4 linked regions of the Arabidopsis thaliana genome follow. The protein of the gene in region 1 interacts with the protein of each later gene in a pairwise test. Each region holds a gene or a part of one and is shown in the gene's direction. Other genes may lie near its edges. The genes, in order: AT4G17810, AT1G61660, HB24 and AT3G45880.

Region 1 (3,338 bases):
TAATCTATCTTTCCTTTATTCTCAACTTCAATACAATAATATAGTTATATACATACAAACGTTTTGACCCAATGAGATATACAAGTACCAACATTGGTATATATGTTTAACTCGGAGATGCATATTATCGGGTTAAGCTTTTTTCAACATCGTTCGTCTAATGTTTGTGATGGATAAACTCGAAAAATTATATATGCTTATAATTAACTTATGATATTAAAATGACTGGAATTATTGAAACTTTTAACCCAATTTTAATTAGCACTTAAATTTGTACACTCATTGTCAATTAATTTTGGATTAAAATCATATAGTGTTCCTATAAACAAACATATTTTATCACTGATCATGATGAAGTTTTTTTCGCATTTTAAACAAAAATAAAATAAAAAGAGCGTTAAAAGGCCTAAATTACGTACTTGTCCAACGGCCCATTGAAAGCAAACGCAAGGATCCATAATGACCTTTATTTGGGCTGAGATTTATCATTGTACTGTAATTTGACTATTTTCCAAGGAAAATTAAGTCCCTTTTTATGTTTTTATTTATTTGAAAAACATGACAAAACAAATGCAATCCACATGGTCCAACGAAAGAGCGATCTAGTTGAAATCTAACTAAGTTCCCAACGAAACCACTGTTAATGTAACTTTACATGGCAAATATCTTTCGGATATCAAGGCCCATCACTTTCAGCTCTTCTGTTTTTCATTTTTTTCCCAAAATTTGTATTGTTTAATATTCCTAGATTTCAAATTGTAATAAAATTTTCATTTGGCATAAGAAAAAAAAATAATATCTTTTTCTACATAGAAAATAATATATATAATATGAGTTCATACACCATACATGTGTGTCTATATACATATATATAGTTTTGTAATGTATGTATATCTCGAATTGTAGCCATATGTAGGATGATTATCTAAAATATATGGTCATAATGTCACAGTGTAAAGCTACTCTAGTCATTTGTCAGATTCTAACAAGAGAATCTTAGTAATGATCACGCAAAGCTAAGATCTTTGCTTCACCATTTAAAGCAAACAAACTTTGTCTTAACCTTACATAGGACATCAAAGTCACAACCAACTTTTTCCTCTGTAAATCTTCACCTATTTATATAAAATGCACACTATTTTTTTATTTATAATTGGGCTTCCTATATTAATTAAATGCATAGCAATCTATGATTTAATGTCTTTTTGTAACAAAGTACCAACGAAGATAGAAGAACACACCTAAAAGTGTAGAGTTCTATAAAGACGTAAAGTTTATGTAAATTTCTGAAAGTAGCTAAATATATGTAAGTAATTAATAGAAAATGAGATTTCATTTTTACTTTTCTAACATATATAAGTTACTAAAATATGTTTGCACTGGATTTAATAGAAAGAAAGTATATTATATTTGCAAATTTTGAATTATACATGTGATAATCAAAATGTGTGTGCTCTTACACTCAGTAAAATTTATTATGGTAAAATTTCTTTCATTTACTGAAAATGATATTTTGAAGATAAGTGACCTATCTATGTATATATTTCGGGTCCATCTTTATATTTATTATTGAATTTACATCATTATCCACCAACCCCATCTTCTTCTTATTCTTCATCTTCTACTGAGATTTCTCTTTTTTTTTCAAAAAAAACTCATCCTTGAATGAACGGTGGTGCATGGATGTGGAACCCTAACAAAATTGAAGAATTGGAGGATGATGATGAATCTTGGGAAGTCAAAGCCTTTGAGCAAGACACTAAAGGCAACATCTCTGGTACCACTTGGCCTCCAAGATCTTACACTTGCAATTTCTGCCGCCGTGAGTTCCGTTCTGCTCAAGCCTTAGGCGGTCACATGAATGTCCACCGCCGTGACCGCGCCTCATCTAGGGCTCATCAAGGTTCCACCGTTGCGGCTGCGGCTAGAAGCGGCCACGGGGGGATGTTACTCAATTCTTGTGCTCCGCCGTTGCCTACAACGACACTTATAATACAATCCACGGCGAGTAACATTGAAGGTTTGTCCCATTTCTACCAACTGCAAAACCCTAGTGGCATTTTTGGTAATTCTGGTGACATGGTGAATCTTTATGGTACGACTTCGTTTCCTCCGAGCAACCTTCCGTTTTCAATGTTGAATTCTCCAGTAGAAGTTCCTCCTCGGCTTATTGAATATTCGACAGGAGATGATGAGAGCATTGGCTCGATGAAAGAAGCGACAGGAACATCAGTGGATGAGCTTGATCTTGAACTTCGGCTAGGGCACCATCCACCGTGACATTTCATTTTCATGACCCACTCGAGGCTTTCACATTAATATCTATTCATACACAGGTTCTTTAAATCTTAATTTACATGTTGTTGTTAAATTCTGAATTCAATTTGGCTTGAATTGTGTATCACAATTAAATTCATTCGATTTCATGCTTTGGTTCCTTGATTTCAGAGCGTAAGTTTACAAGTATATGTTTACTTAATTTGATTGGTTAGATCGAAATATATACAATGAACCCTGCATTATATGATTTGTATATACTTATATTAAATTTCATCTCAGAAATCCCATAGAACCCATATATGTATTGATTACTATTGCTTTTTATATATTCTGTCTTTATCATTACTTGGTTTAGTAATGATTTTCTTGAAAAGTAACAAGGCTCTTTGAATTCAAATTTCCGTTTGATGGAGAAAATTTACAATTAACGAACATTATCAGTAGTTTGTTTCAAATGCTCAAAACTTTCAAATTATTAAAAGCGTCTACACATTTAAAAAAAAAAAAAAAAACCATTCCTCAACAGAAGATAAGAAGCCAATATTTTTTTACATATTTCGTAGAAGGCAAATTTGTTCTTACTATTTCCATATGCTTTAGGGTTTTGGAGTATTGGAATGATGAAGAGATATGCGTTGAACTGAGTTTTAATTTATTCCATTCGTTTTATACTTCTATTACTCCATGTCATGTTAAGTAGTTTGTACATGCATTATTTTGATTTAGTTTCTGATTAAATATTTAACTATATATCTTTTTTGAACGATTTATGGATATCTTGTCATAATTAGTTTTCTAATGCTCAGGCGACTCAGAAGTATCATTCGTGACAGAGAATCTGGTTTTTCTTTTTCTAACTAAAGTTCTCTAATATATCTGATATTTAATGCCTTTTTTATCACGATGTAGGGGAGAAACTTGAATTAATCCTGGTCTTATCCCCGACTTTAGCTAAGAGATCAATTCAAAAACTTGATTGAATAAGTTCTTGTAAGTTTATGCATTTCACAAATAATATGTGATGTACGTTGCTTCTACAATAAGGGTGTAACTATATA
Region 2 (5,101 bases), on another chromosome or scaffold:
ATTACATGTAACGTAAAAATACCATTCTTCAAGCATTCATAACAATTTTTTTTTTGTCAAGATACATAACGTAAATTTGAATTTCGTAATAACGATACTAGCACAATTTAGCTTAGAATATGTCCAATTTTTTTTTTTATTTTGAAAGGAGATAGATATATAAATATTATATACATGGATATCGGTGAAATTATGTTTATTATCTATGCCTATCGTTTGATAAAACTTGTATATTTTATGGACGGTGACACAGCCCGGTTCACTATGCCTCGAGCCGTATAATGATCATAAAGAACAGAACTGGTTACTATTATCAGGTTCAACAAATCCATTTTTTGATATTTTGTGTGGCTATCAGTCTATCACATAAAATGGAAAAAGAATTAAGAGAAAGAAGAAAAACAAAACAATGACTTGTAATTAAAGTGCAATAATTGATTGACTTATCAAATTTATTAGAAGAATAAAATATTTACGGAATTTAGAAAAAGCTAGTTGAAAAGAATAAGGACCGTTTGGTATAAAGAGATTGTGAAAAAAGTCACAAACACAATAGGTCCAGAAACGGTGACGTGACACACAGATCGAAACTCAGCATCGATCGACGATCGTCATCATATACCATTTATCCCTTTAGCCTCAAGCCACAAGAACAAATCTTATTTTATAGTACTATTTTTAACCGAAAGAATCCGATCGACAATGAAATAAATATCGAACTCATATCAAGTGCTAACTCTAGGTTTTGCCATTAATTTTGCGTTTTCCAATCGAGCTAAAAACAATTGATCGTCTATTAAAAAAATAAAAATTCCTATGATCGCTTTTTCGATCTAAAACTAATTTTTAGTAATAGTAATACCTGTTAAAGTATAAATATCCCTCCCAAGTACTGAAAACTCAAACCTGAACGAGCTAGCCTAGGACTCAACTTTTATCTCGAAAGAATCTTTGAATATTACTTTTGAAAATAAGTGAGTCTAATCCTTGAAGATATATGTTTTAAAGTTTTTTTTAGCAAATGCGATTGAGAAAACATATATTTTAACTTCAAGATAATCATTACTGTATGAAAGTATGGATAATTAATTAGAAGAAACGTTGTTCAAAAATTGGTTAGTCGTTTATAATTACCAAAATAATAAAACAATTATTAATACGCTTGCATAGACTAATTAGTTTTTTTTTTTCCTAAGCTTACTAAAGTGATCTGATAAAAATCATGTATGGAAGCATGAAAGTAATAAAAAAATATCAAGTTTCAAAATTTTAGTCTTTCATATTTATGTACATTTATATATATACGCATGCGTAGACTATAATCAGTCATTTTCGTGTTTTGTCTATACAATTACTAAAAACTGATTTAATCAAAATCGTGATATGTTTTCTATTTCTGACCACTTAATATAAACGATCGATTTGTAGAATTTGATGGCAACCAATCAAAGGTTACCGTTAGATATAATGTCTATATATAAATAGTATCCCCTTTTGGCATCTTGCATAATAGTACCAAACACCTATCTAATCTCAAATTAAATATTTAAATATTTATAAAATGAGGATCATTATCACTTCTTCGAAAAGCTAAGCAGCAAAGAAACAAATCTCACAAAGACAGTTGTTCTTATAATAATAGAAGAAAATTGAGGGATTAGGAACACTATTATTACAACATCTTTCTGTCAAATAAAATATTTAGCTTAAGGAAAAAATTTAAAATCAAGATTATTTAATTAAAAAAATCACATAGGAATGTTATGATGATATAAGTTTTTGTCTTCAAATGTCAACTAAATTCCGGTAATTTCCACACACTTGTCCGTACTTGCCTATATAAACATACACACCCTCATAAACATATATCAAAATTTTACACTTATGCTCTTCATATCACATACAACAAACTCATATATATAAAAACTTTAACCTTCGTATAGCAACGATCTAGTAGAAAGCTTATACTAAAACTTTCTGATTCTCTTAATATGGCGGAGGAGTTTAAAGCTACGGCATCGATTTGTGGTGGCGGAGGTGGCGCGTGGTGGAACTCGCCAAGGAGCGTTATGTCTCCTTCGGATCATTTCTTGTCACCATGCTTCGGAGCGGCTATCACTTCCAATGATTTTAGCTCGCAAGAGAATCATCTCAAATCTAGGATGACTTGTACGGACAACAACAACATCGTTTTCGGGCAGCGAGAGGCGGATTCTGACAGTGGAGGAAGTACCGTGACGATGGACTCGACGTTGCAGATGATGGGTCTAGGGTTTTCCTCAAATTGTTCTTCAGATTGGAACCAAACCATTTTGTAAACTTCTTAAAGAAAAACCCTAACTTAATTTTTTTTGTTCACTTTCTTGATGAACAAGATTGAAGATTTTTAATAATAATCATGAGATCTCTTTTGTTCTTGTTTTGTATTTTTCAGACAAGAAGACTTAAACTCAAGCTTCATAAGGAGCTCACAAGATCAAGATCATGGCCAAGGATTCTTATCCACAACTACTTCACCTTATATACTTAATCCAGCTTGTTCTTCATCTCCATCAACTTCTTCGTCCTCAAGCTTGATACGAACCTTTTACGATCCCGAACCAAGTCCATACAACTTTGTCTCCACCACAAGTGGTTCAATCAACGATCCTCAACTTTCTTGGGCTAATAAGACAAATCCTCATCATCAAGTAGCTTATGGACTAATTAACAGCTTCTCTAACAACGCAAACTCTCGACCCTTTTGGAATTCTTCATCAACCACTAACTTAAACAACACGACGCCGAGCAATTTTGTAACCACTCCGCAGATAATATCTACTCGTTTGGAGGACAAAACCAAGGTAAATTATCTCATATATGTCAAAATAATTTTGCTACTATATAAGTTTTGTGGCTATATTATTGAATTTATTTATTTATTTATTTTTGTTGAGAAGAATCTGAAGACAAGAGCTCAGAGTGAGTCTTTGAAGAGAGCAAAGGATAATGAATCTGCGGCGAAGAAACCGAGAGTCACCACGCCTTCACCGTTGCCAACTTTCAAGGTACATGATCATATTTCAAGATTTGTTTAAGACCTTTTATTTTAATTCAATTTCTTGGTGGATAAAATGGATTGTATATGTAACAGGTGAGAAAAGAGAATCTAAGGGACCAGATAACTTCATTACAACAACTAGTTTCACCTTTCGGAAAGGTGAATGATTTATGTGTTTACTTTATTTTATATGGCTTAATATATACAACCAAAAGCATTTATTTTCCCTTGGTTATGTATTGAGCTTCTTAGTTTGTTTATTTTGTATATCTTTGGGTTAAACTTCAGACAGATACTGCATCTGTTCTCCAAGAAGCTATAGAGTACATCAAGTTCCTTCACGACCAAGTCACTGTACGTTTCTTGTGATTTCTCTCCTAACTCACTGAATTCATAAAACCCTAGAAATGAGCAAATTTTTAAGCATATTAATGTTTTTTAAATACAGGTTCTAAGCACTCCATACATGAAACAAGGTGCCTCGAACCAACAACAACAGCAGGTTCAATACACGATCTAGTGTTTTAGTTTTGTCCAAGTTGGAGTCTTCGTGCTATAATCATGGTTAAATAAGTACTAATTTCAGTATGGATTCATGTAGATATCTGGTAAATCGAAGAGTCAAGATGAAAATGAGAATCACGAACTAAGAGGACATGGTCTATGTCTCGTCCCAATATCAAGCACGTTTCCGGTGGCTAACGAAACAACAGCCGATTTTTGGACACCAACGTTTGGGGGCAACAATTTCAGGTAGAGAAGGTGAATTACGTATATCATACGGTTCTTAATTAGCATTAAGATATTATTTAATAATGCTTAGCATAAAAATAAAAGAAAATAAAATTCACAAGTCATGATCAAAGATTGAATCATTACTTGGAGAAAAAGTAGAGATGGGAGAAGAAGAAGGTGACTCTTCAAAGGTGGGCAGAGGCAACAATAGTGTTGGAGGGGACCAACTACGAAAGCAAGAATGATTTAGGGCTTAGAAAATTTGGGATAATAATCTATCATAAACTAATAGATAGATATATTTTTAAAAACATTAACTTACATACTCTCATGTTATATATGTAATAATTAACCTAAATTTCACTTTTTAATTATATATAGGTGATTAAAGAGAGAGGGTTGTGGTTGTCAAGACGGATGGGAACATATGCTAAATTCAGCTTGGAGACTCTAAAGCATAACAATAATTTTTAATGTATTTTCTTCTTCTTTCAATATTTTAAGGGGGGTTTATTGCTGAATTTAGCATATATGGGTTGTTTTTATGTTGAATAACCTTTTGTTCCTGTCATTGTTCTTGAATATATATATATACATATTTTTGTCGTTGGTAACATCTTTGTTAATCACTTATTAAAGTTAGAGAACATAATAATTGGTGGTTTGTCATATGAAGTTCTTTGTTGTTTTTATAGAGTTGTTTTTTTCATGTTTAATCATAAATTTTAATTTTAACAATCACAAAACCAACACTTATAACCTAATTGTTTGTGATAGTGCCGTTACTCTTACATAGTTACATTTATGTCCAAACTTGCAAACTTGCACATTTTCTGGATACATGCATGTATTTATGTTCGTACATATCCATGTATAAATATGTGTCCATATGGATTCAACTTTTTGTTGGTTCGATTAAGAACTATATATTATGGAAATTCAGTAGTGGAAGCCAGTAGAATAGCGGCCCACACTGCTTCCTACTTTATGATTTGAATATACATATATGATTTTAGTATAGATACCGATAAATATATACTGATTTGCATTCAACATCATTTATGTTTACAGAAAAAAGATTATTCATATGTTACTATAAAGACATATATGTGTGTCTAATCTATCAAATGCCACTCAAAAATATATGCAATGCAAGAACAGAATTCTTACCTTAGATCTCAATATCGATAAAATACTCAACAAGTCCCATGCATGATTAGTACGTATTTATTATTAAAAAACAAAATCTCAAATTATGCCCTATTGGAAATTAATGTTGGTTTTCTCCAAAGTACAAACAAATTAAAAGAACATAGCATGGAGTCA
Region 3 (3,137 bases), on another chromosome or scaffold:
TTACATGTATCTAGACTGACCATTCAATTTAAATATAATTGTTCAACTAACTAAACAAATGATAATAATCCTGTATGTCATCAACGAATCATAATCATTATCCAGCACTAAAATCCTTTTTTTGTTCTTCTATCATGGTCTACTGATCTTTTGGCTCCATTTTGGAGAAATCAACCGTAACTAAAAGTATATATATATATATATATATATATATATATATATATATATATATCTTGGTTTGAAGATTTAGTTTTAGTTTTATATGTCAAGTAGAACATCATTCGTCCACTTTCTGTTCTTTTTTTTTGTTTTGATTTTATATTTATTCTTCTAAACCATAATTCTCATCCATTAGATACTTATTTTGAATATCTTAACAATAAATATTGTTATTTTAATGTAACTTACACTAAAATGAAAAATTTAATATTAAATATAAATTGACAAGTGGAAGAAAAGCCTATTAAGAATTTTTTTCATAAGTTTTTATATATTAAAAGTCCGGTAAAAGCTCTCCAGTTTTTCCCAAAAAAATAAAATGAAATAAAGCTCTCCAATGAGAATTGTGTAAGGATTGCATTATGAAACACAAATCCGGTCAAAACACTGTCGATTACTCCATTTTTTTTATTTATTGTATGTTTTCATAACTTTAAACATTAAGGGTGTGTACGGAAAAAAACATTAAGAATGTGATTGGTTACTCTAATTAGCGCAAAATAAAAGAGTTGAGAAAAAATTCTGCCCAAATCATCTTATTTTGGTTGTCTGAATTTTAAAAATCAGATCAAAGTAGATAAGAGACCATACCATATATTACAAATATTTCGACCAATTCGATTTTCGCTTATTTTACAAACAATATTTTGGTTATCTTATTTATTTTACAAAGTAAATGTTCATAAGGTATTCAATCTTTCATTTTATTTTACAAACAATATTTAATGCATGCACCATAATATGTTGCACTGATCGTACTAAACCTACTTACATCGCTAATTTTACGCTAAGCCACAGACACTAATCTCATCAACTATACTAATTGTTGACATTCGACTTAATTAACACAAGATAATTTTATCATTACTCAACATTAAAAACCAATAAAAGAAAGATGTATTGCGACCAATGTGCGGACACTGTATGATAGAGAAACAACGTGGCACTGTCTGCTACAAGTCCACATCTTACTTTCTCTCTCCATCTCTTGTTTCTTAGTGGACTGTGTTATTATTATTATTGGCACAGACCAAACCCACTTGGCTCCTTCATTAGATTTTTTTTCTCTCTCGGAAATTGATGGGCAATAGGAAACACGATTCTCTAATTCTCTCTCTAGAAGGACCAATAGTGTCTTCTTCTCTCCTCTTTTCTCTTTCTCCATTAGTAACGACCTAAACTTTATTTTCTTTTCTTGATCTCTTCTTAAATGGGGTTAGATAAGTTTTCCCCTTTAATTTAGTTGCTTGTAGACTTGAGATTAGTCTAGTAGGTTTTGGTGGGCTATCACTAATACAAAAGTCAAAGTCAAAATTTTTAAAAAGGTTTCAACTTTGGAAGAGATATTTATCATCTTCATTTTCTCTATAGGTTTATGAGAAGCTAAAGCTATGATGATTTCTTTAATCAAAATAGCTTAGGGTTTTGGAGAGAGATTACTAAGAAAGTTTTAATGTTTGTTTAAGAGAAAAGTTATATATTAGGGTTTTCTTTATTCAGAAGCTTCAAGATCAGAAAAGATGGAAGTTAGAGAGAAGAAAGATGAGAAAATGGAGATGACAAGAAGAAAATCATCAGCTCTAGATCATCATCGTCTTCCTCCGTACACTTACTCCCAAACCGCCAACAAAGAGAAACCCACCACCAAAAGAAACGGGTCGGACCCGGATCCGGATCCGGATCTTGATACTAACCCAATTTCTATATCTCATGCTCCAAGATCATACGCTAGGCCTCAAACTACTTCTCCGGGGAAGGCAAGGTATAGAGAATGCCAAAAGAATCACGCGGCGAGCTCCGGTGGACACGTTGTCGACGGTTGCGGCGAGTTTATGTCTTCCGGGGAAGAAGGCACGGTGGAGTCTCTTCTTTGTGCAGCTTGTGATTGCCACCGGAGCTTCCATAGAAAAGAGATCGATGGTTTGTTTGTTGTCAATTTCAATAGCTTTGGCCATTCACAGAGACCACTCGGAAGCCGCCACGTGTCTCCGATAATGATGAGTTTTGGTGGTGGTGGTGGTTGTGCGGCGGAGTCATCGACGGAGGATCTAAACAAGTTTCATCAATCTTTTAGTGGTTATGGAGTGGATCAGTTTCATCATTATCAACCCAAGAAACGGTTTAGGACAAAGTTTAATGAAGAACAGAAGGAGAAGATGATGGAGTTTGCTGAGAAGATTGGTTGGAGAATGACAAAACTAGAAGATGATGAAGTGAATCGGTTTTGTCGTGAGATTAAAGTTAAAAGACAAGTGTTTAAAGTTTGGATGCACAACAATAAACAAGCAGCAAAGAAGAAGGATTTGTAAGAGATTTCTATATATATATATATACTATTTTTACTTCTCTTTGTTCAACATTGCTTTAACTTAAAGACTTTGTGTTTATTGTATAACAAATTGATTTTAGAGCTCAGCATAACGGTCTCTTATTTCTCCCGCAACTTGAGAAGCCTTTTTCTTTGCGGTTTCATAAGCATATTTTGTGGATTCTTTGGCTACACCGTACTTTTCGCCGACTTTTTCCATGGCTTCTTCAAATCCTCTAGTTGCTCCATCTTTGGCATTGTGTGATTTGTCTTTCATGTAGTCAATAGAATCATCCATTGCTTCTCCTGCCGTGTCTTTGGCACTCTTTGACTTTTCTTTGGCTCCTTCATAGGCTTCACCGCTCTTATCCGTTGCCATCCTAATCACATCACCGGCCTTGTCGTATCCGTAACCCGCCTTGTCATATGCAAAGTCTTTTGCATCTTGGGCCTTTTCGTAAGCTATGTCTTTTGCATTGCCAGCCTTCTTGTAGGCGTAGTCTTTGGCCTCACCAGCTTTCTCATAACCAGAATCCTTTGCCTTCTGCGCACTGCCATAAGCAGATCCCACCTTATCATAGGCCATGTCCTTGGCATTGCCCGCCTTATC
Region 4 (5,232 bases), on another chromosome or scaffold:
TGAAGCCGTTCCTCTATGTCTGCGGCTGCTGCTTTTGCTTCTGATGATAAGACAAAATCTTGCAGCTGAATAGAGCAGATACTAAGAATCAATCAATCAGGTCATCAAGTATTGTTTTGTTCATCCGAGAAAGTTTTTAGATTTTAAACTAGTTGATAAGAGATCTCAGAGTGTATAATAAGGTGAATGAACACTTTTACCTTTTCTGGAGATTTCATGTTTGAAAACCGAACTGTTGGGAAGAGCGGTTCTTCATCGTTGACCTCCTTGATTAGAGGAGCTTGGCCGCTGATTAGATATTCACTAAAAACCAAACCTGCAAAATAAACAGAGATGTTATTTTCGTCTTGTAAGACGATTTGAATGAATTGGACGTCTGCAGGAGTGGGATTTACTTGCACGGTATGGGTTTAGAGTCCGGAGCTGGATACACTGGTAAGATTTGAGATTGGTATACATATGGATTGTAGTCACAACTCCAAATGCAGCAAGGGCAAGACTTGTAGAGGTTCCTATGCAATTGGCAACCACTATTCCTAGCAGAATACCCACTGACTTGCTCACCATTCCTTGAGCTTCACCCTTGGCAATTACCTACAAAAGAAGTTGTTGATGCATACACTAGAGACCCAGAATAGTTGAGAAAAACAAATAGCTGTTGATAAGTGATCAAGACTAAGGCCATATAAAAATTATTGTAGACCTCAGCAAAGTTCCTTTGAGAAGCAAAGCCAGCATTGAAGCAACTTCTAGTAGCAGCCTGCAGACAAGTAAATGATAAGTTCAATAGAAAATACTAAACTATAACAAATGCTGCACTTAGAGCTATGCAAATAGAGCTTTCAGAGACAAGAACAGAACCTGAATCAATGCAGCAGCAGATCGACCAGCACCAGCAGCAGCACCGATCATAACGAAAAACTGAGGGAAGACTGGCGTAAGCATCTCCATACCAAAAGCAGCGTTTTCAAGAAGATCAGCAAATAGCCTCCATCCTTTGGGATGAACATCGAAATGTCGTCCGTATTTCGACAACATTATCTTACTAAGATACCCAATTCCATCTTTAAGCACCCAATTGATAGCTGCAGCTGTAGGAATTGCTCCTTTACCTAACCCAACTGCATAAAGCAAAGACTACCAACACAATATAATGAACACCAAGTGTTTGTGAAAATGCCTAAGAGAGATGATAAGCTCAGTCGTCTACCTGAGTGGCAAGAACGCCGCTGATTTGACTAGCAATACCTTGAACACCTCTCCAGAGAGAGTAATCGAGGTAATCAGAAGTTACACTATTGGGAAAACCTTCAGGAAGAAGGAATTGAGTGAGAAGGTTTCTACATTGAGCTAGGAGATTCTCAGGAGTTAGAGAAGATGATAATTCAAAAGCAGATTCTTCAGAGACGAACTCATCTTTGACAAAATCGGGAACTAGTCTCTTCCTTTTACTTCCTCTCACTTCCCAAACCGTCTCTTTCACAGCATCTCCATTACTATCCGAATTTTGATCTTTAGCTATGGCGGACGCAGCTGATAATCGGAAATGGAAGAAGCAAGACAAGCCCAATAAAAGAAAGCAGAGGTATCTCAAATCGAAAGAAGAATCATCAGAGTTATCGCCGCCGCCGTCTCCTCCGCCACCGCCGCCATTTCCGTTATCATTATTACCGTTACTTCCACCCAAGTCTGCACTAAACACTGAAGCCAAGCAATTTCTCGTCGCGAGTGATTGTTTACTGAAATGATCATTTACATTAGCGACTAATCGGACGCATCGGGAAAACGAAGAACCCGATGGCTGCCGGAGTGATTGCCGTGGGAGAAATAAACGCTGCCGGGAAGAAACATCACTCCACCGCCGTGAAGCGACGACGGAAGCGTCACCAGAAAGTAGATAAGAACAACTCATCTTCTTCTTCCTCTTCGAAACAAGTTTATTTCAAAAATCCTATTTTTATAACAAAAACAGTTTTTTTTCTTTTTTTCTTTAAATATAAATTAGGGTTCTTGGTTATGTGTTAAAACCCCCAAATTTTTTGTCCCGCCAATTTTTTTTCGTCAATGGCTAAAGAGATAGAGAATTTATGGAGAGAAGTGAGAGAATTGAGCTTAGGAACTAAAATCGATCGTTTTGATTCTCAACCGTCTCCGGTGAAGTTTCTCCGAAACTACGTGTCTCAGAGCAAGCCTTGTGTAATCTCCAAAGCTATTACTCATTGGCCGGCGTTAAAACTCTGGTCAGATCCGGCTTACCTCACCGGAGCTTTGTCAGATGACGTTGTCTCGCTACATCTCACTCCTAACGGCTGCGCAGACGCCGTCACCGGAGATAGTGATCTTTGTTTCGCTTCGGCTCATGTTGAGAAAGTTCTGTTCCCGGAGGCTCTTAAGGTTGTTCAATCGTCGTGTAAAGGACTGAAGGTTGGGTATTTGCAACAGCAAAACGATTGTTTTAGAACGGAGTATTCGACGGTTGCGTTAGACTGCGACGGTGATATTGAGTGGGCTACGGAGGCATTTGGTTGTTCGCCGGAAGCTGTGAACCTTTGGATTGGTACTGATGACTCCGTGACTTCATTTCATAAAGATCACTATGAGAATCTTTACGCTGTTGTTTCAGGGGAGAAACATTTCCTTCTTCTTCCTCCGACTGATGTTCACCGTCTCTATATCGAACAGTATCCGGCAGCTAATTACTCTTACCACCGAGTCTGTGAGATTTTTAGATTAATAAGTTTCAATGAGTTTGGTTTCTTGTTAAGTGATGTTGAATGAGATAAAGTTTGAATCGTTATAGGATACTGATGCGTTCAAGCTTGAGGTTGAGGAGCCGGTTAGGCATGTACCTTGGTCTAGTGTTGATCCATACCCTTCGCCAGAGAAGGAAGCAAGCGAGAGATTGAAATTTCCGTTGTTCTTTGATGGCCCGAAGCCGTTTCATTGTACTGTCAAGGCTGGCGAGGTTCTTTACCTGTAAGAATTTAAATCCCATAGCTCCACAGATTGAAAATTCTCAGAAACTTTTTGGCTTAATTTGGATCACTAATGTATCTACTTCAGTCTTACCTTTGCTTTATAAGAAACAAAGATTAGAAATGGGTGATAGACCTACTACACAATTGGATTTTCTAGTCATGATTCTGACTCAGAATGGTTCTGAATTTTGCAGGCCAAGCATGTGGTTTCACCATGTTAGTCAAACCCCAGGAGATGGAGGTTATACCATTGCAGTGAACTATTGTAAGAGTTTTAGTTTTGCTTCCATCATCTGTTTGTCTTCAGTGGCAAGCCAGTATTTTTCGGCTCTCCTTGCCTCTAATAAGCTATGTATGCATCTAATTTGCAGGGTATGACATGCAGTTTGACATCAAGTATGCTTATTTTAACTTCTTGCAATCTTTATTATACAAGTCATCTTCACTCAATCCAGTTCTTTCTTGGAGAGAAGACGAAGATTCAGAATCCAGTGATGCAGAGGTATGAAGAGATGAAACAACATTTTTGCTGAGTTCAGGTTTTCTCAGTCATGGTAGAAAGCTCGGAGAAGATCTTAAATTTACATTATGTAATATTTAGACTAAGAAGATCTTAATTTTATTACTTGTCATGTCCATTGGTGCTTTCTCCACTATAACTTAAGTTTTGTCTCCCAGAATTATAAAGAACCATAAAATGATAGAAAAGCTCTGAAATTCTCTGAATTGTATCTCTTTTGTTGATGACTTCATTTTTGTCTCAGATTGCTCCCTGATTTAATGGTGGAACTCTGAAGCCATCATCTATATAAAAGCTCTTGTGGCTGTGTTTGGTTCAATATGTTCTTTAATTAAAATCTCCAGAGTAATTCAGATAAAAACTCTGGAACTGGGTCCATGGTCAACTTCTTGTCATGAATCCCATACATAACCTGCCGTTATTAACGCCATCCAGAGGATCGAACTCCTTGTTGCTTGACTTCCGACATTCTTGGGTTACTGGATTGTCTTTCTCCGTCTGGAACCGAAGAGCTGTACTCTTCTCTGGCTCAGAAATCAACTGACTCGTGATCGCTGGTGGGGCTTATAGAGCTGCAAGTTCACATTTTGAAATCTGGGGTAAGACCAACCTTGCAGTTTCTCAACCGTCTTTTTGATGTGTGTATCATGTTGGCGCCTGGACCTCGCCCGCCACATATGGAATAAATGCCCTACAGAGATTTTCGTTGCTCTGCAATTGTTATCATCAGCTGTATAGCCTGTATTGCAATGGATGGTTACCAAAATGCCACTTCTCTCCTTGTTGCTATGTTGAACAACATAATGTGATGTGTTCTAAAAGCATGTGCCTTGATTTCAGATTTAACATCAGGGAAGCAAGTTCACTCCCTCTGCCACAAATTTGTATCTTTCTTCCACTTATGTTAGTGATGGGGCTAGATTTTGGAAGCGAGTGCATGTGAATTCCATAAAGCTCGGGTTTGAATCAAATGGTTTGATACAAAGTGGGCTGATTGATATGTACAGGAAGTATAGGTTGGTGATAAATGCAGAGAAGGTGTTCAGAGCTATGGAGGGTCAGACAGTTTTAACTGTTGGAGGCTATGGTTTCGAGTATTATGCAGAATGGTTTTCGCATTGAGGACATCAAACCTGATAATGAGACTCTGTTAAACATTGATGTTTATATGCATATATATACTGTTAGAAAATAAAATAGTCACTCTCTCGTCGGCAAAAGGTTAAGAAAACATCGGAGCACCCAAGTAATTCAAGAAGCCAGAGTTTTTGTTCAATCATCGGATTTTGGTGAAGAGATGGGAGATTTTGTGAATAGATGTCCTATTGGTTTGTTTTTATGGTCCTTGTAGATCAAGGGTTCAGCTTCCTTTGAGGTGATCGGGATCACAGCCATTGCTGCTGCCGCTTTCTTTTCTTTGTAAGATGCCCAGGTGACACTATAAAGACCTGCTATGATTGCACATCCGCCTAAAATGCTAAGAGAGGAGGAGAAAAAAGCCTAGTTAGTTAGGAAACTTCAGACACATCCCGTTGATGGCTGAGAATAGCTAAGAGAAAAGGAGAGAGATATTAAACCTCCCCAAGTAGATAGGGCTTCCAAGGAAGATTCTGGACAAGAAAGCTGAGGCTGCGGGTTGAAGAGGATTATAGAGAGCAACCAAGGAAGGACCCAAGATCTTATTTGACCATGTCAAGAGACCATAGTTGAGAGCAGACGCGATTACTCCCTGCA

What was found.
Region 2: the proteins of AT4G17810 (region 1) and AT1G61660 interact in a two-hybrid assay, tested with the Arabidopsis thaliana proteins (one large-scale study listed by BioGRID).
Region 3: the proteins of AT4G17810 (region 1) and HB24 interact in a two-hybrid assay, tested with the Arabidopsis thaliana proteins (one large-scale study listed by BioGRID).
Region 4: the proteins of AT4G17810 (region 1) and AT3G45880 interact in a two-hybrid assay, tested with the Arabidopsis thaliana proteins (one large-scale study listed by BioGRID).

What each region holds. Positions count from the first base shown.
Region 1 is NC_003075.7:9,905,253-9,908,590, forward strand, and holds AT4G17810 (C2H2 and C2HC zinc fingers superfamily protein), read left to right. Parts: upstream 1-1,568; 5' UTR 1,569-1,665; coding exon 1,666-2,280; 3' UTR 2,281-2,775; downstream 2,776-3,338.
Region 2 is NC_003070.9:22,753,062-22,758,162, reverse strand, and holds AT1G61660 (basic helix-loop-helix (bHLH) DNA-binding superfamily protein), read left to right. Parts: upstream 1-1,791; 5' UTR 1,792-1,991; coding exon 1,992-2,314; intron 2,315-2,434; coding exon 2,435-2,843; intron 2,844-2,939; coding exon 2,940-3,047; intron 3,048-3,133; coding exon 3,134-3,199; coding exon of another isoform or gene 3,200-3,283; exon of another isoform or gene 3,284-3,328; coding exon 3,329-3,394; intron 3,395-3,488; coding exon 3,489-3,542; coding exon of another isoform or gene 3,543-3,560; exon of another isoform or gene 3,561-3,641; coding exon 3,642-3,793; coding exon of another isoform or gene 3,794-3,797; exon of another isoform or gene 3,798-4,156; coding exon 4,157-4,160; 3' UTR 4,161-4,552; downstream 4,553-5,101.
Region 3 is NC_003071.7:7,970,513-7,973,649, reverse strand, and holds HB24 (homeobox protein 24), read left to right. Parts: upstream 1-1,568; 5' UTR 1,569-1,739; coding exon 1,740-2,528; 3' UTR 2,529-2,624; downstream 2,625-3,137. Other genes in the region: AT2G18340 (late embryogenesis abundant domain-containing protein / LEA domain-containing protein), read right to left, coding at 2,625-3,137. UniProt on the Arabidopsis thaliana protein: Putative transcription factor.
Region 4 is NC_003074.8:16,868,377-16,873,608, reverse strand, and holds AT3G45880 (2-oxoglutarate (2OG) and Fe(II)-dependent oxygenase superfamily protein), read left to right. Parts: upstream 1-2,023; 5' UTR 2,024-2,064; coding exon 2,065-2,712; intron 2,713-2,800; coding exon 2,801-2,976; intron 2,977-3,172; coding exon 3,173-3,243; intron 3,244-3,349; coding exon 3,350-3,480; coding exon of another isoform or gene 3,481-3,486; exon of another isoform or gene 3,487-3,687; intron 3,688-3,742; coding exon 3,743-3,754; 3' UTR 3,755-4,695; downstream 4,696-5,232. Other genes in the region: RUS1 (root UVB sensitive-like protein (Protein of unknown function, DUF647)), read right to left, coding at 1-65, 201-316, 396-594, 704-760, 862-1,137, 1,211-1,912; UMAMIT3 (nodulin MtN21 /EamA-like transporter family protein), read right to left, coding at 4,771-4,975, 5,076-5,227. UniProt on the Arabidopsis thaliana protein: Histone demethylase that demethylates 'Lys-27' (H3K27me) of histone H3 with a specific activity for H3K27me3 and H3K27me2, and involved in the regulation of gene expression. No activity on H3K27me1.